Linked DNA regions of Elephas maximus indicus. The protein of the gene in region 3 interacts with the protein of the main gene of each other region in a pairwise test. Links are inferred from orthologs where the notes say so. Each region holds a gene or a part of one and is shown on either strand. Other genes may lie near its edges.

Region 1 (7,841 bases), on a different chromosome or scaffold from region 3:
GATCTATCTGTGTACCGTTGTAGGTAAAGGTAAAATATATAATTTACAGACAAGTTCAGAAAAATCAAGGTTGACAGCCTAGCATCATCTGTATAAAACAACAAACACAGAACAGACTACGTATTTTTTTCAGGGATGGACATTTATATAGCTAGACACGGAGCAGCGGACCTGGGGAGACCTGTGTCCATGTACGGGTGTCCATGGGCGGGGGGTAGAGTGGCATCAGAGATAAAGGACGAAGGGAAAAGCCAAGGGCCAGCAAAGCCAGGCCTTATGCCACAGGCCAAGGGCCACGGGAGGGCAGGAAACGCGAACTTCGAGTTTCTCCTCTTGGGCACCCCTGGTGCTCAGGGACTCACTGCGCGAAGCATTAGGCAGTCACAGCCGGCAGGGTTTAAAATCTGGCTGGACGACAAGGAAACTCGCAGGCCTGAGGTACAGAAATGAGAGCCACAAAACCAAAGGGAAACTTACCAAACCCCTCAGCGAAGGGAGAAAGTCGACACCCGCCCCACCCCCTCAGCAGACTTCCTGTAACATGTTCGTTGTTGTCAGTTGCGGTGGTGTCGATTCCGACTCAGAGCGACCCTACAGGACAGAGCAGAATTGCCCCATAGGGTTTCCAAGGAGTGGCTGGTAGATTTGAACTGCCGACCTTTTGGTTAGCATCCAAGCTCTTAATTACTGTGCCACCAGGGCCCCGGTAACATGTTTACTGTTGGAGATTCAGGGTTTACTCTGGGACCCAGAAATTTAATAACATGGTTTGTCTTTGTTCTGTCGAGGGCCCTTTGGTTTATATTACATCTTCACACGTACATCACTCAATCCACCAGAACTCTCTCTTGAAATATAGATAATTTGGTCTGCTCACCACCCCATCACCTCTGGCTTCCAGAGGAAGAGATAATCCTGAGGCTGGGAGAGGCTGATAACCTCTCACTACACTGGAACCCATGTTCCGGCCTGGGCTGCCCCAACACGGGGAAACAGGTGCAACTGAGAGGGAATGGCTCTGGAGATATCTAGCCAAACACAGCATTTAACCACCCTCTAGGCCCTGACATCAAATATCAGACCTCCCAGAATGCGAAGGTTGGAAAGTAGCCAAAGTGCATGGTCATGTAGTTTAACTCCCTGGGATGAAAAATCTAAGGCTGAGAATTGTCCAAGGTCACAGCAAGTGAGGTGCATCTGGCTTTGGAATTCAGAGCTTCTGGCTGACTAGGCTAAGTCTGGAGGGGAGCTATTCCCTGCCAGGTCCACCAGGCTGGCCCAAAGAGAGTAACGGTAGTGTCCCCTTTGGCAAAATCCTGGGGGCTGGAACCAGTTATCAGTGGCAATGGGTTCAGTCCAGCGCCTCCGGGCCGAATGCACCCAAAGCAATGCACATGGAGGCATTTTCCCTCTTTCATCATAATCTTTACATTCCCATAACAGAAAATAAAATTCCCTAATTTAAGTCTATAAATCTCTATCCCCTGCCACTTAAACCACTTGACACTGCTAATAAAGCTCTTATGAGGTGCTGACTTCAAGTGAGAAATTCCAATACTGGACTTTTGTTGAAGCAATGGCTGCGCTGCTCTACTAATTAAGTTTTGTGTACACAACTTGTACCAGAGTAGACAAAACCAAACAAAAAAGTAGACCACTTAGCTTTCTATTTAATTATCAAGAAATGATACAGTCACACACACTCTCTCAGGACCTTCCCCTCTCTTATCGCCCCCACAAGGGTGGGGAGCAGGAGGTATCTGAAGAGGGAACACAAACATGCTCTGAGCTTGGCAAACACTGGCCCTCTGAGCAGTCTGCTGGCCCCAACCCAGAAAATTAAACCCCCTCTTAAATAAACTAACAGAGAAGACGCCTCTCCAAGTAACTTCTACTGTGAATGAAAGCAGACTCAGCAGAAGTCCGTAGAGGACAAGTGTAACCTGAGCCTCCATGCCACTTAAGAAGAAAAAGTAGATACCATCCCACGAGACGGAGCGGAGCAAAAATACACTAGAGTCGGTATGCAATCCAAACACCCATCTCCCAGAGGACAGGCAGACTTAGCGCTGGGGTGGGCAGAGGGTCAGTGGGCAACAAGAGTGGCCGGCCCTGTAGGACAGCTCTGGGGAGGGAACATTACCTGGCCCTCACACCCACGGTGTATGTGTGCACTCAGCGGTGAGGTCTGAACTAGGCCGTTCAGTGAAGAGCAGGGGAGCTCCCCGGACCCACGCTGAGGAATGAAGACGAGATTCTGGGCTGGGGCTGTGTTAAGGTCAAAGCTCTGATCTCCATACCCGTGCGCGGATCTGGGTGTCTGTTGGAGGCTCGAGAACAGTATGAGGGTGTATGTGTGCAGATTCTGCTCCCCTAAGCTTGTATGGTAAGAAGCTGGGCGAAGTTCAGGTAGGTGAGCTGTGCTCAGGGAGCAACAGCCAGTCCCGGTGCCAGGTCCACACAACCGTGGCCTGGGGAGACTGCCAGGCTGTGCTGATGGGAGCTTCTGTCCTTGAGTTTACAAAGCATGTTGTGCCAGCTGTGCTGTGAGGTGCTCCGGCGTGGGCTGGGGCAGGTGGGCACTTCCGTGAACCGCAGGCTATGCCAACGGTGTCCTGAGCCCCAGGCCTCGGACTTGAGGGCGGGGACAGCAGGCGCTCTGGACCGGCCTCCGGTCCTCTGGGTCTGAGAAGAAGACAGCACCTCCCTCCCCCCAGGCTCCGCATCGTACCTGGTCGCCGGCACCCAGGCCGTAGTAGCCGTGCGTCACCACTTCCCAGTGCAGGAAGCAGACGAGCGCGTCCTGCGCGCAGGTGATGGCCGGCGCCGCCGACGCGAACAGCACCTCCAAGCCCGCCATGGTTGCCCGCAGCTTCTGCGGGCGGGAGAAAGAAGGGCGAGAGTGTGGTGAGCCGGAGCAGCACTCCGAAAACAGACGACTCCACACTTCTCTGCTCCGCTCGCTCTAGCTCAATCTCCACCTACGGCCAAAATGGAGCTGTCCGGGGAAGGGGCGGGGCCGTCGGAAGTACGTCGTCGCGCGGGCGCCCTTGCGCGGTCCCGGCTGGAAACTAGAGCGCCACGCTTTAAGGTTCCTCCGGCGACCTCCGGACTGGGCTGGCGGCTGGAGGCGCGGCCCTTCAAAACTGGAATCCCCATCTCGCCCGCAGCGGACTGGATCGTTACTCTCAGGGCGTTGGGTCCGTGTGATGAGAATCCTTTACAAAGAGCCACAGACTTTTCATCCGCAAAAGGGAGAAACTGACAAAAAAAACAAACCTGTTGCCGACGAGTTGACTGATAGCGACTCATAGGACAGAGTAGAATTACCTCGTAGGGTTTCTCCAAGGAGCGTTGCGGCCGGTGGGTTAACTGCCGACCTTTTGGTTAGCAGCCGAGCTGTTAATCAATGAGGTAAGGAAATATGCCTAAAATATAGTCATGATAATAGTTGACAGTTAAGAAGTGCTTGCTGCGTGCCGTATTCTAAATGCCTCACTTGTGTTCATTTATTTAATCTTTATGACCCAAGCCTACGATATTGGTGTTAGTGATACCCACGGAGCGGTGATTTGACTAGGGTGACACGGCCCTTCAGTGAGTGGGAGAGACAGCAGTCTGGCTCCTAGGATAGCGTTTAGTAAGCGTATGTTGTGTGCTAGATCCTGTGCCAAAAACCTTTACGTCATCCTCTCAACAACTCTATGAGATATGTTCCATTATTGTCCCCGTTTTGCAGATGACAAAACTACTCAAAGATTTGAAGCCCCTTCCCCCAAAGAGCACAACTGCTGACCTCTATCCTGATCCACTACCTGCTGCTACTACTACCTGTCCTATGACTACGCTGGAGTCATACCTACTCATGGCGACCCCATGTGTTACACTGTAGAACTGCTTCTTAGAGTTTTCTTGGCTGTAACCTTTACGGAAGCAGACCGCCAAACCTTTCTTTCCCAGCCGCGCTGAGTAGGTTCCAACAGCCAGCCTTTCAGTTAGCAGTCGAGCTAGCAGTTTATACCACCCAGGGACCTTTGATTCACTACCGGAGCTTCTCAAATTTCAATCATTTCTCTACCACCTTCATGATTTTCACCACCATTATTTACTCAATAATTTTCTTGAAATCCTCTTACAGTTTTTATTAAAATAAATTTAGATTTCCCTTCCAGTCAGCACCCTGGTCTAAGCCACCATCATCTCTCACTGGATGACTGCATCAGCCTCTGAAGTGCCCTCCTCCATCCCTGACCCCCTACAGTCTGTTATCTTCTCCACAGCCTGAAAGAGTCTGTTAGAACTCAAGATCATGTCCCCTCTCTGCTCAAAAGCCTCTCAAAGTTCCATAACATTCAAAGGAAAAGTAAAGACCTCCTCATGGTCTGCAGGGACCTACGTATGGTCTGCTCCCAGCCACTTCCCTCTTGGACCTCATCTCCTTCAACTATCTCCTCAACCCCTGCGCTCCTGGCTGCAATAGCCTTGCCTCCCTTCCCTTCTGTCACACCCACATCTGATCTAACAGCGAAGCAAGTCATCTCTACCCTCAAAATATATTCTGAGTCTGGCCACTTCCCACCAACTCCACTGCCTCCACCCTGGTCTGATTCTCCAGCATTTCACACCTGGACTGTTGCAGTAGCTTCCTACTGTGTATGTTCTTCCACATGTTTAGTTCTCTAGGCCTTTGCATGTACTGCTCTCTCTGTCTGCACTGCTTTTCCCCCAAACATCTGCATGATTTGCTTCTTCATTTAAATGACTCCTTCCCTCACCCACCAGCCTCAGACATCTTCTCTGACCACCTCATTGAAAATAACTTCCTCTACTCTTTAACCCCTTACCTTGTTTTCTTTTCTGCAAAGTATTAATCATAACCTGACACTATTAGGTATTCATTTATTTGCTTGCTTATTTAGTGACTGTCTTCCCACTAGACCATGACAAGGGAGCAGGAACCATGTTTGTCTTGTTCACAGCTGTACTTGAGGGTCTTCTGGGCTCAATACGGCTCAATACATGCTTATTAAATGAATGAGTGGATAATGAATGAATGAATTCATATCCTGAGCTCAACCAAATCAGGCCAGTCTCACCCTTTCACAGTCCACCAATCAGCTGGCCCTGTGCCTCTCCAAACTTTATGTTCCTGAGATTACCCTGGGATGCCCAGGTTCTCAAACCCCATCTGCAAAGATTCTGGCCAAGCAGCTCTGAGGTGGGGTGCAGGTATGTTGACCACACTCTGGGTGATGCTGAGGGTGGTGTCCCAGAACCTCTCCCTGATACGTACTATCTGTGGCATAAAGCTATCTGCTCTTTCCACCAAGAAGCCCTGCACTCTCAGGCTTCCCTGTTTTTGCGCACTCCCTTCTGCCTGCAGTGTCCTTCCCCAGAAACGGCAAATTCCCACAGATTCGTTCATTCATTAAGTCAACAAGCCTCCAGAGGCTGGGTTGCCATGGACAGTGGTGCAGGCTATATACTGCAAAAAATGTACACACCCAGTGGCAGCCCTGTTCCTGAGTGCCTACTGGGAGCCAGGTCAAGATGAACAAGACAGAGTCCCTGCTCCTATGGAGCTGACGATCTAGTGGTAAGAAATGACGAAGGTAGCTAGCGTGACAACTGCCTTGACAGATGGGCACACAGGGGTCTGTGCAAGCCCAGAGGAGAGATCTAACTTCTGGGGATGAGGAATGGGCTTCTTGGAGGAAGAGATGCCTGGCTTCCTTGAACCTTTGGCCTAACAACAACAAAAAGCAGACCTACGTTTGGTCAGTTTTATTACTGCTTTTACGTGTTTTACTGACAATGCTCCCCTTCATTGCCTGCTCTGGGAGTAAACTGAAGAACAAAAGGTGTTCTAGTAAGAGAGAATAGCATATGCAAAGGCCTAGAGTTGTGAAATGCAGCTAGAATGGTGAGATTAGAGGTCAGTGCTGCCTCCTAGTGAGGCCTTCCCTTACCTTCTCTGCCTACTACGAATTACTGGCTGAGTACACTTTGCCTCGGGGTGGGTGCTAAGGGGCGGGCAGAGGTCAGTGAGAGTTATCTGCCTCAGTGAGGAGGAGAATTTAATCACAAAAAATTGTTTAGAATTGCTGGCCCAGGGTGATAATAACAAGTAGACCGTTTGGTCAGCTTTATTACTGCTTTTAAGTTTTTTACAGACAAAGCTCCCTCTCATTGCCTGCAGTGGGCAGACAGCCCCCCAAACCCCATCCCTGGGACCACTGCTGCTTTGCATATAATTGGTTGGGGCAGGCACCTCACAGAACTTTGGTTCCCTATTATACATCATTATCCCTGTCTTAGTTTGGATTCCCTCAGAAGCCAATGCTGAGACAGGATTTGAGTGCAAGTGGCTTATTGGGAACAGATTTCTGGAAATAGCAATAGGGGAGTAGGGAAGTGAGATAAGGAAAGAAGGCAACCAATGAAAAAAAAATAGAGGGTATTAATCAAGCCACTTACCATTATGGGCAACTAAAGCTCAGTCCTGCTGGGGAACTCTGGGAGGCAGTATGGAACAGTCTCAGAAGTATCCGAACTGAGGGTGAGGAAACTGGGGTGTGTTTTCACTCCCTTCCTGTCTGCCCCCAGTTGAGGACTGCTTCTGGGAGCAGAGAAATCCCTCAGGTAGAGAGTTGGAGAGTTTACAGAAAGCGGCCATTGGTGCTTAGAGGTGAATACTGAAGGATGAGCGGGGCACACGGTGTCTGGTGTGCCCCCGCTAAGGATAAGCCATTCCTTAGCCTAGTCTGTGACCCAGCAGCCATTCTGGAGTAGCATTAGCACCTGTGTATTGAGAGAATGAGGTAAGCTCTGTCTCATGCGCTAGGCTGTGAGTCCTCTGAGGGTCAGGACTGTGTTCCCTCCACCCTGGATCCCAAGGTCCTCTAGGGATAGGAGCAAATGGGGGGCTCCCCTGGTGCTGGAGGTTGTCTGTGTTTTGCCCCTGGTCCACCCAGCACTTTCTGTGGACTTACCTCCCTCAGCAAGAGTCTCAGTTGGCCCTGTTGGGTTTGCAAGTGGTTGAGAAGGGAAGCAGGTGGAAGGTGCCTCCCCTGCTGGGCCCCTGCTACCTGGGCAGTGCAGAACCCATGCCCAAGATGAGGGCTCAGGATGATGGAAAGAGCTTGGCAGGTGGCTACAACCACCAGTTCCTGGTTGCTAAGTGACTGCAATGTGGATATTCCAAGCTCCCTGTCTCCCTGGAAACAGTAAAGAGGTGAGTTGAGGGGTAGGGCCCAGATGGGGACCAAGGTGGAGTCATTCGCCACTGGAATCCTTTTTTTCCTTTGGCCTAGCATCAGCCAGGCCACCTAGCCTCCCTCAGGAAGCCCTCCACAACTAAGAATATTCTTTGGTACCTCCAGTTGGCTAACGGATACCCAAGACTTCCCACTCCGCTTGTCAGATGGGTACTAGCGTATTTGATACCTGCAACAGAAAACTTTTTAACACCTTCCTCATCTGTAGGACAAAATTTTCAGTAACAATCACACTGTAATCAGTAAAAATTGTTATTTCCCTGATTCATTCTTTTTTCGTTTTTAAAATGAAGGTATAATTTACACATAGTATGGCTCCTCAGTTTCAGTGTGCAATTCTATTTGTTTTGACAAATGTGCACACAGTTATGTGATCACTGACTAAGAGCAAGTAAACTGAGGCATTTGACTAAAGTAAAATGGCTGCTTTAGAGTTTGGGGCCCTGGTCCATCTTGCTTTTCTTTTAATACATGTAAACTGTTCTGCGAGTGACCAGGCATGGACCAGTAATGTGAAACTTGCCTCCGAAAATGGAGGGCAGCAAGAGATGGAAGAAAGAAGTG
Region 2 (7,997 bases), about 140 Mb from region 3:
CCATTGGTTCTGAAAACGGGGTCTCCTAGTGGAAGAATGACACAAACCAGGCAGGAGGAATCCAAGTTGGCTCAGTGCATGCGGAGGGAGGCCGTGGATTTGTTATCAGCCCCCTACCTAGTTCTTTGTCAAATCAACACTTTTAGGCACCTTTTCGCACACACCAGGATCATTACTCTTGTTTGTACAATATTTCTCCACCACAACTCAACAGAAGAGCTTTATAAAAACAACAAAAAAAAGACAAACCTATTGCCGTCAAGTCGATTCCGACTCATAGTGACCCTATAGGACAGAGTAGAACTGCCCCATAGGATTTCCAATGCTGTAATCTTTACAGAAGCAGATTCCTACATCTTTCTCCTACAGAGTGGCTGGTGGGTTTAAACTGCCAACCTTTCAGAGAGCAGCCAAGTGCTTAACCACTGCACCAGGGCTCCTATGAAGTGTATTATACCCAAAAACCAAACCAAACCCATTGCCGTCGAGTCGATTCCGACTCATAGCGACCCTTTAGGACAGAGTAGAACTGCCCCATAGAGTTTCCAAGGAGCACCTGGTGGATTCGAACTGCCAACCCTTTGGTTAGCAGCCATAGCACTTAACCACTACGCCACCAGGGATTCCATGAAGTGCATTACAGGATAGAAAATACAAGTTAGGAATTCACTGAGTTCATTCTGTAGATTTACAAATGATGATATTTTAACAGAGTTCAAATAGAAAACAACACTATGAAAATACCCTCTGGCAGATGCCTCCTGAAGACTCTGGGATGGAAGGCATACAGTAGGAACTCGTTCTTCCCCTTCAGCATAGGTACACCAAAAGAATCTCAGCTCAAATACAGTTTAAGTGAGGGGACCCAGACTGTACACGAGGAGGCAGGAGGCAAATGACACACAGAGAGCTATGGCGCAGTGGTACGTACCATAGTTTTGGATCTAGCTCTGATCCTAACTAGCTGTGGGTCCTTGGGCAAGTCACTTAACCTCCGAGCCTCAGTTTTCTCAACTATAAAATAAGAAAAATATTTGGCTCAGGAGTATCTGAGAGGTAATGAGATACTGTAGACGGATCTACCTAGCAGCTAGTAGAAAAGGTACAGCAAGGTGAAGAGTCCGTGCATTGGGCCAGTGCTCAAGTGCTCAGCTGCTAACCAAAAGTTCAGCGGTTCGAACCCACCAGAGGCTCTGGGGAAAAAAAGACCTGGTGATCTGCTCCCGTAGGAAGCCCCATGGGGCAGTTCTCTGTAATACTTGGGGCCACTATGAGTCAGAATTGACTTGAAAGCACACAACAACAATAACACCACCGCTGCTTACTAGCCATATGACCAGCAGCAAGTCAGTCTCTCAGTTTTGGGGTCTGCAAAATGAGGATAATAAAACCTATTTCATAAGATTTGCAGAACAAGGAGTTAATAATACAGGTAAAGCACTCAGAACAGTGACCTGCACTTAGCAAACACTTAATAAATGTTGGCAACTATCATTACCTTTTATGTTAAAAAATATTTTGACAAGGTTAATTTTATAGAGTTTCCTTGGTTTTGAAAAGACCCTTTTTAACTCCAGCAAGTCTGGAAAATAAAATACAAATTGAACAGTTCAAAGTATGGGCTCTCAATCAGATTTGCCTGGGTGTTCCGGCTCTACCAATTATTAAATGTGATTTTGTGCAAGATATTTGACCTTGCTACCCTCAGTTTTGGAGGATTGGTAGCACAGTGCTTAAGAGCTGCAGCTGCTCACCAAAACACTGGCAGTTCTAATCCACCAGTGGCTCCTTGGAAAACCCATAGGGCAGTTCTACTCTTGTCTGTAGGGTCACGAGTTGGAATTTACTTGACAGCAATGGGTACAGGTACCCTCAGTTTCTTCATCAGTGCAAGCGAGATAAAACGCCTTCTTTAGAGGGCTGTGGTGAGGATGAGATAAATTATGTAGAAGCTAGGTCTGCTTCCAGCAGTAACAGAACTAAACTGTGAGCTATTACTATTCTCCACTTCAGTACCTCTACATTGTCGCGTTTTTGAGCTATTCTACTTTCTGTTTACAACTACACGTGTAAATGTGGTAGAAAACTGCATTCAAATGTAGAGTGCCCAGAAGCCAAATGATTAAAGGTAGGTGGGTTACAGGTGGAAACCCTGGTGGTGTAGTGGTTAAGTGTTACTGCTAAACAAAGGTCGGCAGTTCAAACCCACCAGGGGCTACTTGGAAACTTTATGGGGCAGTTCTACTCTGTCCTGTAGGCTCTCTATGAGTTGGAATCGACTCGACGGCAGTGGCTTTGGTTTGGGTTACAGGTTGTAGGAGAGTGGAAAAAGCATAACAGGTAGAGTCTGGGAGCCTGACTGCATGCCTAACAGATTTCCTTCACAGTTCAGCTGTGTGACCTTCCTGGGGAGTCGCACCGCCTCCGTAAGCCTCAGGTGCTGTAACCTTAAGAACGAAACAGTAACACTGGATTGTTGCGAGTATACCCGGGAGATAATGCACGTGACCGTTCTAGGCACTGAGTAAGCGTTCTTTAACCTTTAGCCTCCCTTCACTTCACACCACGATGTGACAAGTTTCACAATCCCTAAAGAATACGACCACGACCACGAGACGGGGAGAACAAAGAAGATTCAGAAGAGCTCCGATCCTGGGTCTAACGCCCCATCTCCTAGGCCAGGGAGGCTACTCCTTTCTCAACCACTCGCCCGACGTCCAGCCCAGCCGCGGGGAAGCAAAAGGCAAGGGCAATCGCTCGCGGCCCTGGCTCAGCCCAGCTGCCTAAGTGCATCCATCCTTCCAACCTCCACCCTCAAGGCGTCGCTAAAAAGCCTAAAGAAGGGTTCGCCAGGCGAAGGAGCGCTCGGGGTTTCCATGCCCATTGGCGCTAAGCCCTCACCCTCTCACCTCGATGCCCCGGGGTTTCTCCATGAGCCCTAACACCATTTCTTCAACCGTCACCAGGTGTAAGAAGCCATATTGGCCTCGCCGCTCGCCCCGAGCGCACTCATTGGCCGCCTCCCTGAGCAACGGGCCAATCACGCTGCAGGAAGGCGGAAAAGCCGGTTCCGCGCTCGCTCGGCGCCTCCACCCACTGCGGGCGGGGAAGCCGCGGGCGGTTGTGGGACTTATAGTTCCCCAGAGGGTTACGCCTGTAAAGGCGTTGCCATAGTGACGTGAACGTCGCCCGGCCCCGGCTTTGAGGTCACTGGCGCTGACTGTTTAAACTCCACGCCAGTCTCTTTCCCCAAGCCTGGCCCTATTCTTCATTAAACAGTTCTTAAGCACCTACACAGGCACTGTGTCAGGCGCGGAGGATAACCCCGTGGGACTTCGCAGTCTATCCAGAGAGAAATGTGAGGTGCTCTTGGGCTGAATGCCTGGCAGCCCTCCTCATTTCCCATTCAGGCAGAAGCTGGAATAATTTCATGCCCAATGCATAAATGCTCCGCGTGTTCAAATTTCTCCAACATTCGTCTTCCACCAACATTTCCTGAATAAAGCCCGAGGCTCGCAGCCTCATCCCTTTTGGATTTCCCACAAACCCCCTACACAAGGGGAGTTCTAGGCGCTGTTGTGGCGCTTTAAGAGCATCATCTCGATCCCATAGGCATCCAATCACCGTTTCAAAGATGAGGCATCGAAGGCTCTCCAGGTTTAGATACTTTCCACGGTTAGGCAGAATTAAAGATTTACTATGAAGTGTTTCCCTATCTCGTGCTGTAAGGAGCCCTGATGGCAAAGGGGTTAAGAGTCGGCTGCTAACCGGAAAGGTGGTCAGTTGGAGGTTCGAACCCACCAGCCACTTTGCTGGGAGAAAGATGTGGAAGGTCGCTTCTTGAAAGATTACTGCCCTGGAAACCTGATTGGACGGTTCTACTCTGCCCTATGCGGTCGCTAGGACTCGGAATCGACTCAACCGCAACAGGTTTGGGTTTGGGATGCTACGTTGTGTCCTGATTGAGACTCTAAATGTAGTAAGTGGAGGCTGGATATATGTAAAACAACAATTTATTCTACACACTGTGTAAAAGGTAAAGTGGTCTTTTTTTTTAAAATAAAGTTTTGTTTTTCATTAAAAAAATTAAATGTTCTAGGGTAAAAAATCACAAAGTTTAGTAAAACAAAAAGGTTTTATTCGGCACATATTCAAAGAGGTAAAAGTGGGAAATGGACAAGCGTGGTTCCAGCGCCAATGACTGCCCGTCTAAGGAATATTACAGAATAAGCAAAAGTGGGGAAACAGACAAACATGCTTCCAGAGCGTGTCTGAGTCCAAGGAGTGTTATAATCAGTATATATTAACATTACAAATGGGCCAAACCACTGAAAGCTTCATCTTTTCACAGATTCGCTAAAAACTGCCAAATTGCCATGATTCTATGTTTTGAATAGTCTTTCTTAATAATCGTTGGTACAGGTTTCAGTAACGACAGGAGGGCCCTCACTGATCCAACAAATCTTATTATTTGCTAAATGCTAATAGAAAAAAGATAAGAGTGGAAGGTATGTGGGTCTTTTGCGCACTGTTTGTTTATTTGAAAAGTTCCCTAAAAGATGTTTCCTAAGATTGTCCTAGCTAATATCTTTATACCACAGGGCCCAGTTGATGTGTCCTTGTGAGTCCAGCTCCAGCTGGGTCACATTTTAGGACAGGGAACAATGGCTCCAATATTATCTCCTAAATCATTTCCTTTGATCAGAGATTGGCGATAATACATTGATGATCAATACCTGGACTCAATATTCTTAGATGGAGGCTCTTTAAATTAATGGTGCTGGATTTCCACTGAATACCGTCACCAGGATCTGAAGAGCAATGTTCTCATCAATCTCATTGCCAAAATGAGCAGATTCAATGTACACCAACATTTTAGCCCGAGGCCTTCTTTTGCCTTTTAGGTGTGTAAGACAATAGAAGGTAAATTTTATTATGCCTAATACTATCAAGACACAGAGTAAGAATATTATTATTCTTGCAATAGTGATCTAACCCATGTACTTATTCCTGATGGTAACTAACTGAGGTGGGAAACCGCAGGATGGCAAGTGAGGCGGGCAGCTCCGCCCAGTTGGCATTGTCCCTCACTGATGGCCCCAGTGCATCAACTATCTGATGACCTCAGCATCATTACAGGGACTGTCCACTAATCCTGATGGGCCATGCAGGGACTGTCCACTAATCCTGATGGGCCATGCCCCTAGACACACCCTGAACACACCTGAAGAAGAGCCCACCCCTACCCTGTCTCCTTTCCGTATATAGACCCCTGCGCTTGCCAACTGAGGAGCCATCTTGGCAATGCAGGTCCCAGTGTGCTCCTTTGCTAGGCCAGCCAAATCAAGTTTTCTTCTTTTGCTTTCATCTGACTTGTGTCTCTGAGTCTCACCCAGCGAGACCTGGAGGTCCAGTAACACAACCAAATAAATGTGGTGTTTATAAGGGCATTACAACGTGTAACAAAGTAGCATGTTGTCCAGTCTACATATATCCTGTTCTACTTCTGTGTTATTTATTCAAATGGAACAAGAGGTATTTGCTACAGCACAGGCTACACTTTCTTGGGCTAATAAAAAATCTAAGAGCTAATCTGTTACCTCATGTCACCGTGACTTAATGAGGTCAGAGACTGCCATTGTGCTTCCATTCCACTTGGCAACTTCATCTGCTGTTGGTCCCATGATAACTGATAAACTTCTTAAAGTTTCCTCCAATTCAACTATAGTGTAAGTAGGAACTAAAGCTATCAACCCTACCCTGAGTGTTGGACAAGTGGGTTTTCTCCTGACTCTCGTTTTACAATGTGTAACGATTTAACATCACTTTTCCAATATTTACTAGCATCATTACTATGAATATCTAAAGGTAATCCTAAAATTCCCAAAGTGCATTGCCCACGCATTCGCCAGGAATCTAAACAAGACATTGACCATATAAATTCACCGTCAGTTGGAAAGGATCATCGAAACTAGCGTAGTTGGATCCACCACACAAAAACATATATCCATAAGGAGCACACAAAATTTGTCTAGAGAAAACAGAAGATACAGAAAAATTTACATGTGACAACCAAGTTTCCGTTAGAGAATACATGATTATCAAGACAATAGAGGGTGGACCTCTCCTGCTGGAGGTCTCCAGTTAATCTATTTAAAACATTCTAAGCAGTTTTTCCTGAGAGCAAGCTGCCCCTCCTATTAACAAGCATGGGTTACTTTCTCAGAAGCAGAAGACAAAATGGAGTCTGGGCCATGAGGTCCATCTTCTCTGAGAACTTGGTTTATTTAAGATACATAAATTTCTGCATAGTAAGGGGGTGACAGTTTGATTACAAACATTAGGTGTTTCATACAGCATTGTCTTGAAGACTAATTAGACTAATTACTGATTTACCATCAAAGTCCCAGGTTCAAAAGGACACCCAAAGGCAGTAGCCTGTGTGGGTTATCTCAACCTACATGAAAGCCAGAAATCTGGATTCCAGGAGAATTACAACTCTTTTGCCAGATATCAAGGATGGCTTTCATATCTATATTCCCCAGATTTAGGAATATATTTTTGTGGATATCCAGTTTTGTATATTCACAAAAATATCTTGTGGATATATTTTTGTGACGTCTTTTCCTGGTTTAGGTATCAGGGTTATGCTAGCTTCACAGAGTTCAGTAGTGTTCCTTCTTCTTCTATGTTTTTGAAGAGATTGAGTAGGATTCGTGCCATTTCTTCTCTGAATGTTTGGTAGAATTCTCCAGTGTAGCCATCTGGTCCTGGGATTTTTTTTTTTTTTTGGCAGTTTTTTGATAGCATCTTCAATCTCTTCTTTTGTAATGGGTCTGTCTAAATTTTCTACCTCTGTGTTAGTTTCAGTAGGTGGCGTGTTTCTAGGAATTTGTCCACTTCATGTGGGTTTTCAAATTTGTTGGAGTATAATTTTTCATAGAAATCTGTAATGATCTTCTTTATCTCTGTTGGTCGGTTGTAATGTCACCAGTTTCATTTCTTAATTTGGTTATTTGCCTCCTTTGATTTTTTACTTTTTTTAATCCAGCCAGTGGTTTGTCTGTTTTTTTGATACTTTTAAAGAACCAACTTCTAGTTTTGTTGATTCTATTGTTTTTCTTTATTTCTGCCCTGATCTTTATTATTTCCTTTTCGGTTTCTTTTACTCTTCCTTTTCTATTTGTTTAAGTTGTCATTTTAAGTTAATTATTTTGGATCTTTCTTCTTTTTTAATGTAGGCATTTATTGCTATGAATTTCCCTGTGAGTACTCCCTTTGCTGTGTCCCAAAGGTTTGATATGTTATGCTTTCATTTTTGTTTGATTCTAGGAAATCCTTGATTTTTTTTTCCCCTTCAATCCCTTCTCCCCACCTGTAAACCCAACATGCTGTCAACAAGTAATGTTGGTCGTTCTACCTCCAAAACAGATCCTATATCCCTTCACTCCTACCACCTGAATCTAATACCTGACCACTACAACAGCCCTCCAACTGCTCTCCCTGTTTTGAATCTTGCCCTTCAATTCACACAGCAACCAGGTGATCTTTTAAAACCATAAATCAGATTATGTCAGTCTCTTGCTTAAAACCCTCTAATGGCTGCCTCTTGCATTTTGAATAAAATCCAAACTTTCCACAAGACCCTAAAAGACTTGGTCTTAGCTTTCTATCCGACATCTTCTTATACTACGCTCTCTACCCTTCACTATGTCCAGCCACTCTCCCCTTCTTCCCGTTTCTTGAGAACCGTGCTTGAGACTGCCTCAGGGCCTTTGTACTTGCTATTCCATCTGTGTGGAATACTGTTTCCACAGCTCTTTTCAGGGCTGGCTCATTTTAAGATCTCAGCTGAAAGTCACCTCCTCAGGGGCCTGCTTATCTGAAGTGGTGGCTCCCTTGCCTCACTCTGTATCCCATTTCCCATCTCAGCTTCATAGCACTTGTTCTTGTCTGAAGTTACGTTGTTCCTTTGTTTACTTGTTTATTGCTTAGCT
Region 3 (7,716 bases):
CAGTAATTTTGCCCACAGATACCAATTATTAACCTTCTTTCATTTCAGATGACAAGTATGTTTATAAGGAAAAGAAAAGCCTCACCCAATTACAAGCCAGGGGAGGTTTCCAAATTTATCTCCACAACCCATTTTCTTGGGCCTATCAATAGTATGCTTTAGAGGTACCTGGCACTCTTTCAATTTACTCAGTTAAAAAAAAAAAAAGAAAAAAAAACCCATCATTAAGCAATTTAAAGGTGAGCACACCTGAAAGATACTGATTTGTTATTTCAAATATAGAAAAATTTGGGTAAGAAAGCAAGATTCTCATCTTTCACACAAGTGAAGCTTTTGCATTCAGCTACTGCACTTTAATATGCAATCGTTTATTTTCTAAAAAATGCACCTGCAGAGCAGAGAGAATCAGACCCGTAATTTAAAAAAAGAAAAAACTTGCTATGTCAGTCAAACTTTAAAACACAATACAAGCTTCTCTCTCTCTCTCTCTCTGTGCTGTGCTTTGGCAATCTCCTATTTCTAAAAATCACCTAGGCATGAAAATATACATTCTTTCATAACAGCTCTTCCCTTTTGGCCTTAGACCTCACAGGTCAACGTCTATAAAACTACTCTCACTCTTAAGATAAAGTAGTAGGTTCCCTAAAGTCATAAATATAAAAACAGCCTACATTCCTGAATGAATCAGATAGCACCAACAGGCTAGTCACAAAAGAGACTTTTAAAGTACAAGTAATTGAGTAATCAGCAGTGTTGGAAAAAATTTTATATAGAAGGTGGAAGGAGCCAAATATTTTGAATATATAAAACTATTTTAGGCCTCTTTCATTAAGGTGTCCAAACTAAATTTGGGGGAAAGAGATATGATTAGATCTTCAAAATGTCTATAATCAAACCATTTTCAGACTAAACGAATGTAGCCTTTACTGAATCCACATCAGTTAGTTTAGCTTACTTTGAAAAACGCTATTACTTGCAATAGCCCTCTAATTTTCATCAGTTTATATGTGACTTCTCCAGGTGGTTAAAACCATCGTTTTTGCTCTCTACTCTGATGTCAGTGCTGGATAAAACACCAGAGAAAAAGGGGATGGGTCTGTGGTTTTGTTTGGACCTCAAGTTGATTTACACAGTGGTTCTAAAGTCAATATTTTTTTCTAAACTCAGTATTAGAACTTGTGACATTACAATGAAAAAAGTCACCTACCTCTAATTTCAGGAGACACAATGCATTTTGAAAGACATATTCGTACGTCTGTTTTTATCTTTAGTACTCATCATTTTTTTTAAAGTCAAATCAGGAAAATAAAGATTCTAACAAGTAACTGAACAGACAGATATGACTCTATACAACTTTACTCTCCACTAATAAAATAACCCAAGCCCAAAGAGTGTGTTATACACCTGTTAAATGATCAGAAACTAGAAGACTTTTTTTGTTTCTGTGAGACACTTATCTGACTAGTAAGTGATCTATTCTAAGATATCTTTCCAACCCAAATCACATATCTAGAAAAGATGCTGGATGTCAACAATTCTTATCTGGGCTTCTACACCTAATGAGCTTTTTTCCTTCTTCTTAAAAGAACCACCACCACCTTTTTTCTTTCTCTTTGGGGGGGAATAAAATTCATTCGTCCGGATTCTTAGGAGCACGGCCTGATGCAAAGGCAACTCTCCCCCACCCCCTCAACCTAGCCACAGGAGTGGAACACCAAAGAAGGCTCTTTGCTCCCCAAGTGTCATTGTTTGCTAATTTCCTGATATGCCCTGCGACTTGTTTACGTTAAATAATATCCAGCCTCCCCCCGCACAACTTTCCTCGCGGCCCGAATTGTGCGGCCGCAGCCCCCTCCGCCGCAGCCCCTCCTCCGACACTCCGCTTGGGAGGGGAGTTTGGGGGTCCAGGAAGACGAGCCCCCGGAGTTGAAGCCGCCACCGAGGGCGAGGGGCCGCGGGGCCCGGTGCGGAGATGTTTACGCCGCGCGAAGTCCTTTCTCCCGCCGCCGGCGCCGACCCGCAGGACCCCCGGCCCCCGCCCCGAGCCCGCCGCTCACCTCGGTTCACCAGTTTGAAGCTTTGGGATTTCCTGCTTCTTTTCCTTTCGGAGAACTCCATGGTGCTGGGAAGGAGGAAGGAGGCAGGGAATGCGGCCGGGGAGAGGGAGCGGGAGGGAGGCGGGAGGGCGAGAGGGGAGGCGGCGGCTGAGGCGACGGCGGCGGCAGCACTGGCTCTTGTCACCCAGCAGCGGGAGCGGCCAGGACCAAGGTCCGTCTCTTCAATCAGCAGAGGGGGGAGAAAGGAAAGGAAAAAACCACCTCGAACGAACTCGGGTGCTTCAGCTTTCGGGTCTCGGTAGGAGGCGGTTTCCCAGGGAGAAGTTGCCCCCTCCTCTTCACCGCCTCCCCGTGTCCTAAACACACACCCCCTTACCCTTTCTAATTTCTTTTTTCTTTTTAAAAACGTATCCGAAGCTGAACTTTCCGTTGGGGACCGAGTTGGGGACAGGGTGTGAAGCGAGGAGGAGCGCCTTGCCGGCCGGGATCTGGTCCTGCCGGCGCCCCTGGGGCGCTCGCCGCGGGCCGGCCTGGGCAGAACCTTCCGGACGTGGCGGCGGCGGCGGCCGAGGCGAGCGCGGCCCCGGGGACGCGGCGGGCGGGCCGAGGGAGGGCGGCCGCGGCGGGGAGCGGAGCCGGGTCCGGGCGCTAACCGCCCCCACGGGAGGTGGGGCTGGGAGGGGGGGAGGAGGCGGCGCCGCCGGGACCCCGGGGCCACCTGCTGGCGGATCCCGCCCTCGCCGCGGCGCCCGGGCCGCCGCCATCCCCGGGGGCCGCGGGCCGCCGCCACCCACCGGCCTGGCCGCGCGGCGCCCTTAAGAGAAGCTAGAGGCCGCGGCGCAGCGCCCTCGGCCCGGGCCCAGCCGGGCTTCCCCGTGGGGACCGGCCCTGTCCGGCGGGAGGGGGGCTTCTTACGCAGGCGACTCTGGGGTCTGAGGAGTTGGGGCCCTGCCCTGAGCTGGCCGCGCCGAGCGCCAAGTCGGGGAGCTGCTTCTTCAGGGGCCTCAGATCTCAGACCCCAGCTTGGCTGTCTTTCTCCGCCGCTCTCTAAGGCCGATATTCTTTTTATAAACAGTCCTAGGTTTCTTGGCCCCTCACTGGCCAACCTATTCTCAGCCCTGAGATGGAATGCCGAAGGGCCGGACACACAGATTTTAGGCAAGTTTTAAGAAAAAAACTTACCAATCTGCACCCTACAAAAAAAAAAAAAAAAAACTAGAAGAGGTTTTAGAATTTATTAGTGGGAAGAGTATAGAAAAAGAGTAAACTCCAATTCTTTATCCAATACAGGAAGGGTTGTTGGAATATCCGGAGTTATATTCAAGGAGAGAACTTGGAATGTGGGGCTTGGAGAGGGTGAAGGGGGTGAAGGGTGCTACGTCAGTGGGTGCATGATCACTCTGCCTACTCTAGGGAAGAAATGGTAAAGGCAAGGACAGGAGACTGCCACTTGATGTAATAATGTCCAAATAATTGATGTAAAAAGAAACTTGTTATTAACTTTATATAATATTCTTCTCTAGGGAGATAAGAGCACACTACAGACACCATTTCTTTCTGTCAACATCTTTAGAGAGGGAATTAAATTGAATTTTATACCACCTGAGAAGGGCAATACAGGAAGGTGATCTGACATACTTTAAAAGGACCCCCTTTAAGTAATTGTTTCTAGACCTAAATAGAAAGTAAATATAGGTAGACTACCCCTGAAGCACTGTGGCAAATTCAGGTAGTGCCAAAAAGGTAGAGCAGAGTAAGGGAAAAGGGTATGTTCATAAATGTGGTAGCAAGTTCCACCACCAGTCTTACTTAAATAAGGAGACAGCCACTCAGGGTCTATTCTTAACTTATCAGGGACATACAGAGTAGAACTGAGGAGGAAGGAGGAAGTTGGAGGCAACTGACATAAACACACACACTTACATGCACACACACCCAAGAAACAGAATAATCAACCAAGTAGTGGAAGCAGACTAAAAGTGGAAGCAGAGCTGGGCACAAATCTTGAGGTCTTGGGTGGTACACAGCAAATCAGAAAGCTGGTTACATCTGACCTGGAAGTGAGGGAGAGGTATTCATTCAGTTTGCTAAAGCAACCCCCTAAAGAAGAGGTTCTTAACCTTTGTGGTCATTTTCTCCTCTGTCCAAAGCTCCAGGCCCTTTTCCCAGAAAATGTATATAAGACAAATGCAATTTTGCATAGATTTTTGGGAGTTTTTAGACCCCTAGAGTCCTAAAAGATACTAAAAGGGATGAAAGTGAGAACAGGGATTAAATAACTACCCTAATTGATTCTCTTCCATTTTTTTCTTTCTTTAAAACTAAGCAGTAAAAATCAGATGTTTTGACTGTTTCTTTGAGGAAAAGGCATACTGTTTTGTTCCTCAGGCTGTGACCCTTTCTTTTTTTTTTTTTTTTTTGGAATGCTTTTTGAGATATGCCAAAAGCCACAAGGCTAAGAACTACTGCTTGAGGAACATTTAGGATCTTCCCTGCCTTTTAGCATAAAATGAGATTTTATTACACTTAAAATCATTGAAGGCATCATATCAAGAAGCAAATACCTAGGGAAGATATTAACAACTTAGCATTTTCAGTTCAAATGGGAATTTGAATTCCATTTACTGAAGAGAATATTTTTTATACATATTGTTAAGAATAAATATTTTAAAGTAATAGTCATTTTCCCTTGATCCTTTCTACTAGCTCTCCAATGATGGTCTATGAATTGTTTTGCAGAGACCATAGACCAGGTCTGATCTATCAATATGTAGAGAAAATCAACAAATAATTATTCTCCACTTTAAGCAGATCTGGAGCCCTGGTGTTGCAGTGGTTAAGAGCTTGGCTGCTAAACAAAAGGTCAGCAGTTCAAATCCACCAGGCGCTCCTTGGAAACGCTATGGGGCAGTTCTACTCTGTCGAATTCCGTCAGAATTGACTTGACAGCAACGGGTTGGTTGTGCAAATCACCGTTCCTTTATATAATGACAACGTATATATTCATGTAACGAGCATGTAGTAAAGATTAATTATGATATTTATTAAAAATGAGATTGCTTTAAGTGGTAGTATCGGTTTTTGGTTAATTGAATACAGTCTTTGTGTTAGAGTGGCCTGGAAAGTCCTCTAGGAGATCTACTAAGGTCATTTCCCTGCTTCGATAGTTCAAAGCCTGCAAAAGTTTTAGAAGTACAGGTTTACATGTTACTAAAATTCAGTAAAAACTAGTTAAATAAATACTCCATGACTTCATATAGGTGGAACATCTACTACGTGACCATTCTAAAATGCAGTTGATTAAAGATTAAACACAGGTTTTAATCTTTGACAAAGACAGGTAATTTGCCCAGAAAACATCAAGTAATCTTAACCCTTATTTTTAAAACTCTCTTTCTGGAAACTCTATCCTCAGAGAAATGGCATTATGAAAGTTTTCATCTTTAATTAGAGCTCTGCTACCCAATAGAAATGTAATGCAAGCCATATTTGTAATTTAGAGTTTTCTCTTAGCCGCATTTAAAAAGTAAAACCCAACATGTAATCAATACAAAAATATTAATGAGATATTTTACATTCTTGTTGTTGTTGTTGTACAAAGTTTCAAAATCTAGTGTGTATTTAAGACAAATCAATTCTGACTAGCCACATTTCAGGTGCTCAGTAGCCACATATGGCTACCCCACTGGGTAGCTCAGATTTAGCAGAAGGTTTGAGCCATGTTATTTTTTTTTTTATATATAGGTATGGCTACAACCTGCTTATTGTTTAATTGCCTCTTTAATAAACTCCAAAAAGAAGGAGATGAGCAGGAAGGTATTATTGGGCTTAAGGCTTTTTATTAACCTCCGAATGGTTTATAAACCATTTGGAAGTGAAAATCCTGTCACTAAATTGGTACTACTTTATGAAGATTTGGAGACTCCTTCAAGAAGATTAATAAGTATAAATATTAACTTCATTTTATGACAATTGCCTATCTGATGTATATTGGCTTTACCAACCATGATGTCCTTTTCTAGTGACTGGTCTTTTCTGATGACATGTCCAAAGCCACGGTACCACCAGAACTCCTAAAGCTTTAGTTAAAAAAAGCTTTAGTAGATACTGTCAAATAGTTTTTCTAAGTGGTTCTACCTATTTACACACCCATCAGCAGTGTATGAAAGTTCTAGTTTTTCTAAATCTTTACCAACTCTGGGTATTATCAGTCTTCTTCATTTTAGCCATTGCAGGGGGCTATCAGGTGTAGTGGTATCTCTTTGTGTTTTTAATTTGCATTCTCCAACTGACAGAAAGAATATGCAGCCCTACATTACGAGTTATGTTCCCTCAAAATGTGTGTTGTAAATCCTAACCTCTGCCTGTGGTTATAATCCCATTTGTGAATGGGCTGTGTTTGCTATGTAAATGAGGCAGAAATAATGTAGGGTGTATTTTGAGTCAATCTCTTGAGTTATAAAGGAGCTTAAGCAAGAAAGCAGAGAAGGGGGAAGACAGATGCCAAGCCACATGTAGACTGCCCAGGAGCAGAAGCTCAGAAGAGACAAGGACCTTCCTCCAAAGCCGACAGAGACAGAAGTCTTCCTTTAGAGCCAGCGCACTGAATTTGGACTTCAGCCTCCTAAACTGTGAAAAAATAGATGTTTGTTAAAGCCACCCATTTGTGGTATTTCTGTTACAGCAGCACTAGATAACTAAGAACATAGTGCTGGAAGAGTAGGGTGGTGCTCTAACAAATACCTACAATGTGGAAGTTGATTTGGAATTGGGTAATGGAAGGAGGCTGGAAGAGTTTGACTTCATCGTTTTTTACTTTCGCTTTAGCTACTTGATGTTCAAGAACAAGCTTCAGAGTCTTTTCTGACATCCATTTTGGTCTTTTCTTCTTTTTAATGATCTCTTGATTTCTTAACGTATGATGTCCTTGGTGTCATTTCACAACTCGTCTGATCTTTGGTCATTAGTGTTCAACTTGTCAAATCTATTCTTGAGATGGTCTCTAACTAAATTCAGGTGGGATATACTCAAGGTCATACTTTGGCTCTCGTGGACTTATTCTAATTTCCTTCAGCTTCAGCTTGGATTTGCATATGAGCAATTGATGGTCTGTTCCAAAGTCACCCCTGGCCTTGTTCTGCCAGATAATATTCAGTTTTTCCATTGTCTCTTTCCACAAATATAGTCAATTTGATTTCCTCTATATTCCTACCCGCGAAGTCCACGTGTAGAGTCACCATTTGTGTTGTTGAAAAAAGGTATTTGCAATGAAGTCATTGGTCTTGCAAAAGTCTATCATGCGATCTCTGGCACTGTTTCTATCACCAAGGCCATATTTTCCAACTACCGATCCTTCTTTGTTTCCAACTTTTGCATTCCAATCACCATGCATCCTGATTGCATGACCAATTTCAGACTGCAGAAGTTGGTAAAAATCTTCAACTTCTCCATCTCCACCCCTATTTCTCAATTTGTTGTTGGCCTGACTCAACTTTCCACTTTCATTTATTTCATTGTTTTTAGTGATTGTAACATAAAAGAAGGGAGAACGTATTTATAACAGAGATTACATAAGTGAGAATGAATTTTGGAATGCTACACAAATACTATTACCTTATATTTATATGGGACTTCTCTTATAGGAACACAAGAATATTTA
Region 4 (7,091 bases), on a different chromosome or scaffold from region 3:
TTCTAAGATGCTTTATGAAGTTAATCATATCATCTCAAATGAACCTTAAGCAAACTCATCAGGGAAGCAATGCAGGTACCATCATTACATTTTACTGAAAAGAAAGAAAAGCTCAAAGATAATAAATGATTTGACAAAGAAAAAAAACTAGTAATGACATGCCTTTAAACTTTCTAGGCTAAGTTGCTTTTCACAACATTATACTTCTTGTCAAAAGTAAAGTAAAACAAAATAAACAGTATGGTTGCTAGAGAATTCTTGAAAAGCAGACTACTACGAACGCCCAAAGAAAAAGAATACATTTCAATTCTAGGTCCTCCTGCATAATTTTGTAAAACCTGCACTAAATCTTTCTCAGCCAACGCTTTCAACTCTAAGCTCATATAACTAGGGGCGGTTAACAAAATTGCAGAGGTTGCTTGAGTAACAATTATACTCTCACTCACAAAGTATCAGGTGACATGATAGTAATAACATTTATGATCAAACCAAGAGTCATACAGTTCACTGAAGAAAACCAAACAAGGATCCTTGGCCCTAGGTGACCTCCCCAGCGCTCTCCCTAGGTGGCCTCACTACTCTCAAGATCTCTAACATCTATCTGTTGTTATTGTTAGGTGCCATACAGTTGATTTGAACTTGTAACGGCCCCATGTGACAGGGCAGAACTGCCCCATACAGTTTCTTAGGCTGTAACCTTTACAGGAATAAATTGCCAGGTCTTTCTCCCACAGAGGCGCTACCTATTTCCCAAACCATTATGTCCAGTCCCAACTTTTCTCCTTTCCTCTACATCTGAATTTCCAATTGTTTGGACATCGTATAAGCACCCCACAATTAACTAACCAAACTAATTACCTTTCCCATGAGATCTGTCCCTTCTTTTGTTCTCTATCCCAATTAATGGTATCATCATCATCTACCCATTCACATAAGTTGGTTATATCTGATTCTATTCTTATCACGATCATCCAGTCAGTCACCAAGCTCTTCGGATCCTATATCCTAATTCCTCTTCTTCATCCCTACTGTCACTGTTTTCATTCAAACCCACTTTCACCTGGAACACTGCAGTTGCCTCCCAATTGATCTGTCCCCTACCCAGCTGATAAATCATCTTTCTAAAATACAAATATGATCATGTGCTACCCCTGCTTAAAAACATTTGATGGCATTTTTATTGCCTACGGGAAAAAGTCTAATCTCCCAATCCTCACACAGAAGTCTCCCAACAACCTGACTCTAATTTACTACTCAGATCTCATCTTCTGCCGCTGCCCCCCACATTCCCTATTTTCCAGATGCACACAATTTTCTGCCATGCCCCCGGTGCTTTATGTTCTTTCTTTTGGCCATGTTAGTACATGATGTCCCCTCTTTCAAGGATGACTTTTTACACATGGTAGGCTTGTACCGATTCATTCAGACCCTGTTGAAACAACAGCAGCTCAAATGCCACCCCTCTGGAAAATCTTTTCTAATTCCCTAAGGCAGATTTCATTATTCATTATTCCCTCCTCAGTGCTCTAATGCATTTTGTATTATGTCTCTATTATGGTACTTCTCAAACTATTGTAACTACCTATTTTATTCACCTTTGTATGTCCCACCTCTGCCAAAATACTCTTTGACACATTGTATGCCCTTAATAAGTGTTGAAGAATGACTGGGTTGTACCTCCCACCTTATTGTGAGCATCTGTGTGCCGGATGACATTCCTCAGGAGGACCTTCCCCAGTGGAACCCGGGACATTCTTCAATCTGAAATGAATCAATAAGTAACATTTAATAATAATAATGTTTTTCTTTATTACCTTATTTTTTATTAAAATTTTATAAAGAAGCACGAGGTAAAGGAAAGATCACTGATGTAGGAGAAGTCCTGAGGAATAGTTTTTCCTTCACCATTAAAAGAGGAAAATGCCTGACCACATTAATGTGAGGATGAAAGGAGATTATGTTAAAATTCTTTGAGACTGCACAAAATTAAGTGATTTAATGAGCACCATTTCATTTCATCTTCACAATTCTGTCTTATATGAGGCAAGCATCTTCATCCCTATTTCGCAGATGGTGTTCCCTTAAAGCCAAACTTGCCCCAGGCCACACAGTCACATGCAAACAAGGTAAGTCAATGTCCAGACAGAAAACAACTCTCGAATCAGAAGATGTTTGCAATGAAGCAAATACCCAGATTTGAAAGAGTGTCAGTGACCACAAATGTCAACTGTAACAAAAACTAACGCCTAAAAACATGAGGTGCAGAGAGAACCTAAATTTCTCTACTGAGGAGAATTTTACTTCCTGTTTTGTAATGAAGTCTCCAAAAACTAGTTGACAAGGGTATTCCCGCATGTAGCTACCAGGAGCTTTGTACAAGCACCCCGCCGCTCACTCACCCCTCGATCCTGAGGAAATCAGGCGTCTTGTTAGTGTGAGACGAAGAACCACTCCATTACAAGACCTCCTCCGACCCAGGAAGCCAAGGAGTCAGGGCTAAAACACAGCTCTGCAGCTTCACCCGAGTCCTTCGTGCAAACGCAGCCTTCCCACCGGTTACTCCGCCCTCGCCCGCGACCCGGGCCACGGCCGCCTCCCCCAGCCCGGACCGAGGCCGGAGGCTGCGCCGGCGCGGAGTTCCGACGGCCCTGTCGGCTGGGTCATTCCCCGCCCAGGCTCGGCTGAGACGGGCCTGAGGGTGGCTTTCGCTCCGCAGAACGGATGGGGGCGCTCTGGACGGGCACGGCCTTCAGGCTGGGCCCCAGACAGTGTCTAGGGTGTCTGAAGGGAGGTCTGAGGTCTCCCGGCGGAAGACAGAAAACATCCCCATCTTTGTCACCGGATCCCTGCCCCTCTGCGCCTCGGGGCTCCCGTTACCCTTCCCTCCAGACGCCCTCCCGACACAGACACACACACACACCCATACCGTGCGCCGCAGCCTCGCGTGGCGGGCGTCGGGGGAGGAAGCGACCCAAGAGGAAAAGGCGTAGGTTTCCCTTTCAGGCCGGAAGTCGTGCTCCTGAGTAATTCTTCCCGATAACGGGAGACCCAGACTATCCCCCCGGGAGGATTTCCAAGGCGTTCCGGAGATCGACAGGTGCAGAAGGGAGGCGGGCGCTTGCTTGGAAGAGAAGTGGGTCAGGCCCAGCTGAAAAGCAAGCCCAGCCCCGGAACTGGAGGTAAAGAGAACTTCTGCCTGGAGCTTCCCGGACCCAATTAAGCGTTGCACCCAGCCGTTACCCTGGTAACTGGCGTGGCGGTTTGTCAAGGAACAGAGAGAAGAGGTGGGTTCGTTGATCTCTGGAGCAATCGTCCGTTAGTTGAATTTCCTTTTTAGTCTTAGCCTACTACAGTATTTTAAGAATCTAAATCTCCAGTTTTCCTCATTTGATGGATAGTATGGAACACCTCTTCAATGAGAGATTGTTACTCTCGTGTAGCGTTTACCAGGTGTTCCAAATTCATCGTTTATATTGATTTACTTAATCCTCACAATAACCCTGTGAGATAGATGTTGTAGTCTTCGTTTTCAGGAGAATAACCTAAAGGCACGTATATTAATTGCTCAAGGACTCATAGCTAATAAGTGATAAAACTAATAAGATTTCGAAAAAACCAAACCAAACCCAGTGCCGTCGAGTCGATTCCGACTCATAGCGACCCTATAGAACAGAGTAGAACTGCCCCATAGAGTTTCCAAGAAGCGCCTGGTGGATTCGAACTGCTGACCGTTTGGTTAGCAGCTGTAGCACTTAACCACTACACCACCAGGGTTTCCAAAACTAAGAAGCTAGGTATTCTGACTCCAAAGTCCATGCTTTTCACTATTAAGCAATAATAAAGATTGAGGGAATCTCATATAAACCTCACACCACACACACCTTCAGCAATTTCAGAACTGGGGAGGCCTCGATCAGCCAGTACCCAGGGACTGGAACAAGGAGACCACCAGGAAACCAGGCTGAAAATGACTACTCTGCCCTGTGTGTACTCCAGGATCTAGGGAGAGGTACGGTCTTGTTTGAGAGGACAACTTGAAAATTTAGGAAGGGGTGCTAGATAATTAGAGAATACAGAAAAGATGCAATGGTGCCGATCCACAGTCTTTGAGACACAGATGTTCAGACTTCACCAAAACAATTCCTTACCAGTTCCTCCTCCCCCAAAAGAAGAAATGAATCAATAGCCCCAGACTTTTTCCCTCTTAAGTCTTGTCTTTTCATAGGTTTAAGAGGCCCATTCACCATTATCAATCATGGAGGCAGCCTCAAAGGATCTTCTCATCCAAGTTACTCAGTTCTGGAACCTCTTAGATGATCTGGCTGAAAGTGACCCTGAACTCTATGAGAATTTTATTCAACAGCAGCTGAAAGAGGGGAAACAGCTGTGTGCCACCCCAGAACCACAGTTCTGTCTACAGACCAGGATCCTGGTATGTAGAGTTGGTGCCAGGGATGGGGAGGTCCTGAATGAAATACTCCTAGAATAACCAGAGAATAGCTTACTCTTAGCTATTGCTACTTTAACACAAGAAAACTTGAGGAAAACTGTCATCCTAAATAGATAATGAAAAGTGTAGAAGATTAGGTTGAAGGAGTAAATGTGGGAAATTCATATTTAATATATTTTAGCGATCTCAAAATGAACCATTTTTTTCTGCTAGAATAAAAAGAAAGCAATGTAATGATTTAGTAAAGACTCATATAGTTGAAGCTTTTTCAAATAAAGATAACTTATGTGGCTTAAGAGAGCAAATCAAACCCGTTACCGTCAAGTCGATTCAGGCTTATAGTGACCCTATAGGACAGAGAAGGGCTGCCCCATAGAGTTTCCAAGGAGCAGCTGGCAGACTAGAACTACCGACCTTTTGGTTAGCAGCCAAGCTCTTAAACATCGCACCACCAGGGCTCCTTAGGAGGGTGAACCAAAAAACCAAACCAGTTGCCATCAAGTTAATTGCTACTCATAGCAATCCTATAGGAAAGTGTAGAACTTCCCCATAGTGTTTCCAAGGAGCACCTGGTGGATTTGAACTGTTAAATTTTTGGTTAGCAACCATAACACTTAATCACTACGCCACCGGGTGGTGAAATAGTTGTTTAAGCAAATTTACCCAGAACAGCTGCTTAGCCCAATTCCTCCCCTTCCTCCCCCTCCACCCAGTTCCTTCTAAGTACAGCAACTGAATTGTTCCTGAAAAGACAGCAGCTTTGGAGAAATCTAGTAGGAGACTTTATTAAAAAAACAGTTTAAAGTAATGATAGTAAAAATTTTAAACAGTTTTGATACATGGAATGACTTACTTGGAGTCTAAAATTCTCCCCTTCCAATGCTGTGATCAGTTGCCTTTAGGTTATTTAAAAATAAACTAGTTTTTGATATGTGCAAAATTATTTGTTTTCTAGAAACCAAGAGAAAAAACACTTTTCATCAACCTTTATCAGTGGAAAAAGATCCCAGCTCCCCAATCAATCACTCATCCAGTACCTATAAGTGTTGGCAGGCCAGAAGATATTTCTGAGACATCAGGTATATAGAATTATGGGAGAGAAAGCATATTTAAAAAATTTTTTACTGGTAATAAACATGGATCAGATTTTGCTGGGTAAAAGATATTTCAAGTAAAATTTTATTTGGTGACGAGATAGTTAATGACAAGTTAGTGTACCTTTATGCAAATTAATACTTTTTAATTTTTCTAACAATATGAGCTATGGTTAACCATATAAAAATACCAAGAAATGGATAAGTTGGAATTTTGTGTATATAGCACCATTATGACTGCTTCTGAAAAAATGCAGGGATGACATTTATACTTTGTCTTTATCAGGGTTATGGTTTACTACATATTACCTGACAGTAACATTAGTGAAACAAAGTGGTCTTCATTTCATACCCTCTGAATTACACATGCAGGTGTTTACACAGTCATCGATGTTGCCTACAATCCTGATGTTCTCCAGGTGGCAGAAAAAGACCAAGTGAAAAAGGACCAGTTGATCCGGATGGCTATGAAATGCATTGAGGAGCAACTCCAGTCCACTCTCTCACAATCCTACCGAATTACAAAACTTAAAACAAAAGGAAGCATTCACAGGATGAAACAAAGTCTGATGGGAATCCAAAATGACTCCCCTGATTTAAGAGAGAAATTGAGAAAGGGTAGGTCGATGAATGGAAAAGAAAAATTAAACTTATTTAAGATTTTTGCATCCTGTGTCCATTTTGCAAACTAGAAATCTCGATTTTAAAAAATTAGAAACTTAAGACAGGAAAATATGAAGATTAGATACTGAAAATATTAGAATATCCTAAAAATTTTTCAGAATCCTGCAGACTTATAAACCAAATTATTTGGTTTTAGATTCTTTTGGCTTAAGGTTCCCAAATTATTATGGAGTACTGAGTCTCGGTTTATGGTGTTGAAAAAATCTCATTGATTAAGGGTAGGGCTGCACAGCTGATTAATGTAATTGCTGCCAATAAGTTGTACACCTGTAAAAAGTTGGCTTAGCAAAAGTTGTGTGATATATTTACAACGACAAAAAAAAAAGTAGCTGCTGAGGCTGCTTATGTACAACTAAACACCTCATGGGATTTGGTTCCTTGGTTTGGAGGTTTAGGGTCATCGTTTCGTGGGACATCCCAGTCAATTGGCCTAATAATGTGTTTAGTGGTTCTGTTCTACCTCCTAGTTCCTAGTCCCTAGTTCCTAGTGCTTGGGGTCTTAAAAGTTTGCAAGCTGCTATCCAAGGCCTAACAATTTGTCTCTGTTCACCTGGGGCAACAGAGAAAGAAGGAGAGTCAGGAATCGGTTGGGAAAATGGATGTGTGGCTAATTGCCTCAATGAAAAGCTGCCTCCTTTGCCCTGAGAGGAAATCCTGGTGGTATAGCGGTTAAGAGCTACAGCTACTAACCAAAAGGCTGGCAGTTTGAATCCATCAGGTACTCCTGGGAAACTCTATGAGGCAGTTTCCTGTAGGGTCGCTGTGAGTCAGAATCGACTTGATGGCAACAGGTTTTGGTTGCCTTGAGACCAGAACTGGATGGTGCCCAGCTGCCATTACTGAACATTTTGATCAAAAATTCT

What was found.
Region 1: the proteins of BEND7 (region 3) and PSMF1 interact in a two-hybrid assay, tested with the Homo sapiens proteins (2 studies listed by BioGRID and IntAct). The two-hybrid records come from large-scale screens. The link is inferred for Elephas maximus indicus from reciprocal best matches to the Homo sapiens genes BEND7 and PSMF1.
Region 2: the proteins of BEND7 (region 3) and L3MBTL2 interact in binary tests that used the Homo sapiens proteins (3 or more experiments, as listed by UniProt). The two-hybrid records come from large-scale screens. The link is inferred for Elephas maximus indicus from reciprocal best matches to the Homo sapiens genes BEND7 and L3MBTL2.
Region 4: the proteins of BEND7 (region 3) and NKAPD1 interact in binary tests that used the Homo sapiens proteins (3 or more experiments, as listed by UniProt). The two-hybrid records come from large-scale screens. The link is inferred for Elephas maximus indicus from reciprocal best matches to the Homo sapiens genes BEND7 and NKAPD1.

The regions. Positions count from the first base shown.
Region 1 is NC_064843.1:39,187,786-39,195,626, reverse strand, and holds the start of PSMF1 (proteasome inhibitor PI31 subunit), read right to left. Parts: upstream 3,011-7,841; 5' UTR 2,861-3,010; coding exon 2,732-2,860; intron 1-2,731. UniProt on the Homo sapiens protein: Plays an important role in control of proteasome function. Inhibits the hydrolysis of protein and peptide substrates by the 20S proteasome. Also inhibits the activation of the proteasome by the proteasome regulatory proteins PA700 and PA28.
Region 2 is NC_064822.1:185,383,727-185,391,723, reverse strand, and holds the start of L3MBTL2 (lethal(3)malignant brain tumor-like protein 2), read right to left. Parts: upstream 3,014-7,997; 5' UTR 2,949-3,013; coding exon 2,910-2,948; intron 26-2,909; coding exon 1-25. UniProt on the Homo sapiens protein: Putative Polycomb group (PcG) protein. PcG proteins maintain the transcriptionally repressive state of genes, probably via a modification of chromatin, rendering it heritably changed in its expressibility.
Region 3 is NC_064822.1:43,689,717-43,697,432, reverse strand, and holds the start of BEND7 (BEN domain-containing protein 7), read right to left. Parts: upstream 3,019-7,716; 5' UTR 2,973-3,018; intron 2,660-2,972; exon of another isoform or gene 2,434-2,659; intron 2,277-2,433; 5' UTR 2,119-2,276; coding exon 2,058-2,118; intron 1-2,057.
Region 4 is NC_064825.1:6,799,690-6,806,780, forward strand, and holds the start of NKAPD1 (uncharacterized protein NKAPD1), read right to left. Parts: upstream 3,015-7,091; 5' UTR 2,927-3,014; intron 2,806-2,926; exon of another isoform or gene 2,400-2,805; intron 1,762-2,399; 5' UTR 1,754-1,761; coding exon 1,685-1,753; intron 1-1,684. Other genes in the region: PIH1D2 (PIH1 domain-containing protein 2), read left to right, coding at 4,256-4,432, 5,406-5,529, 5,917-6,162.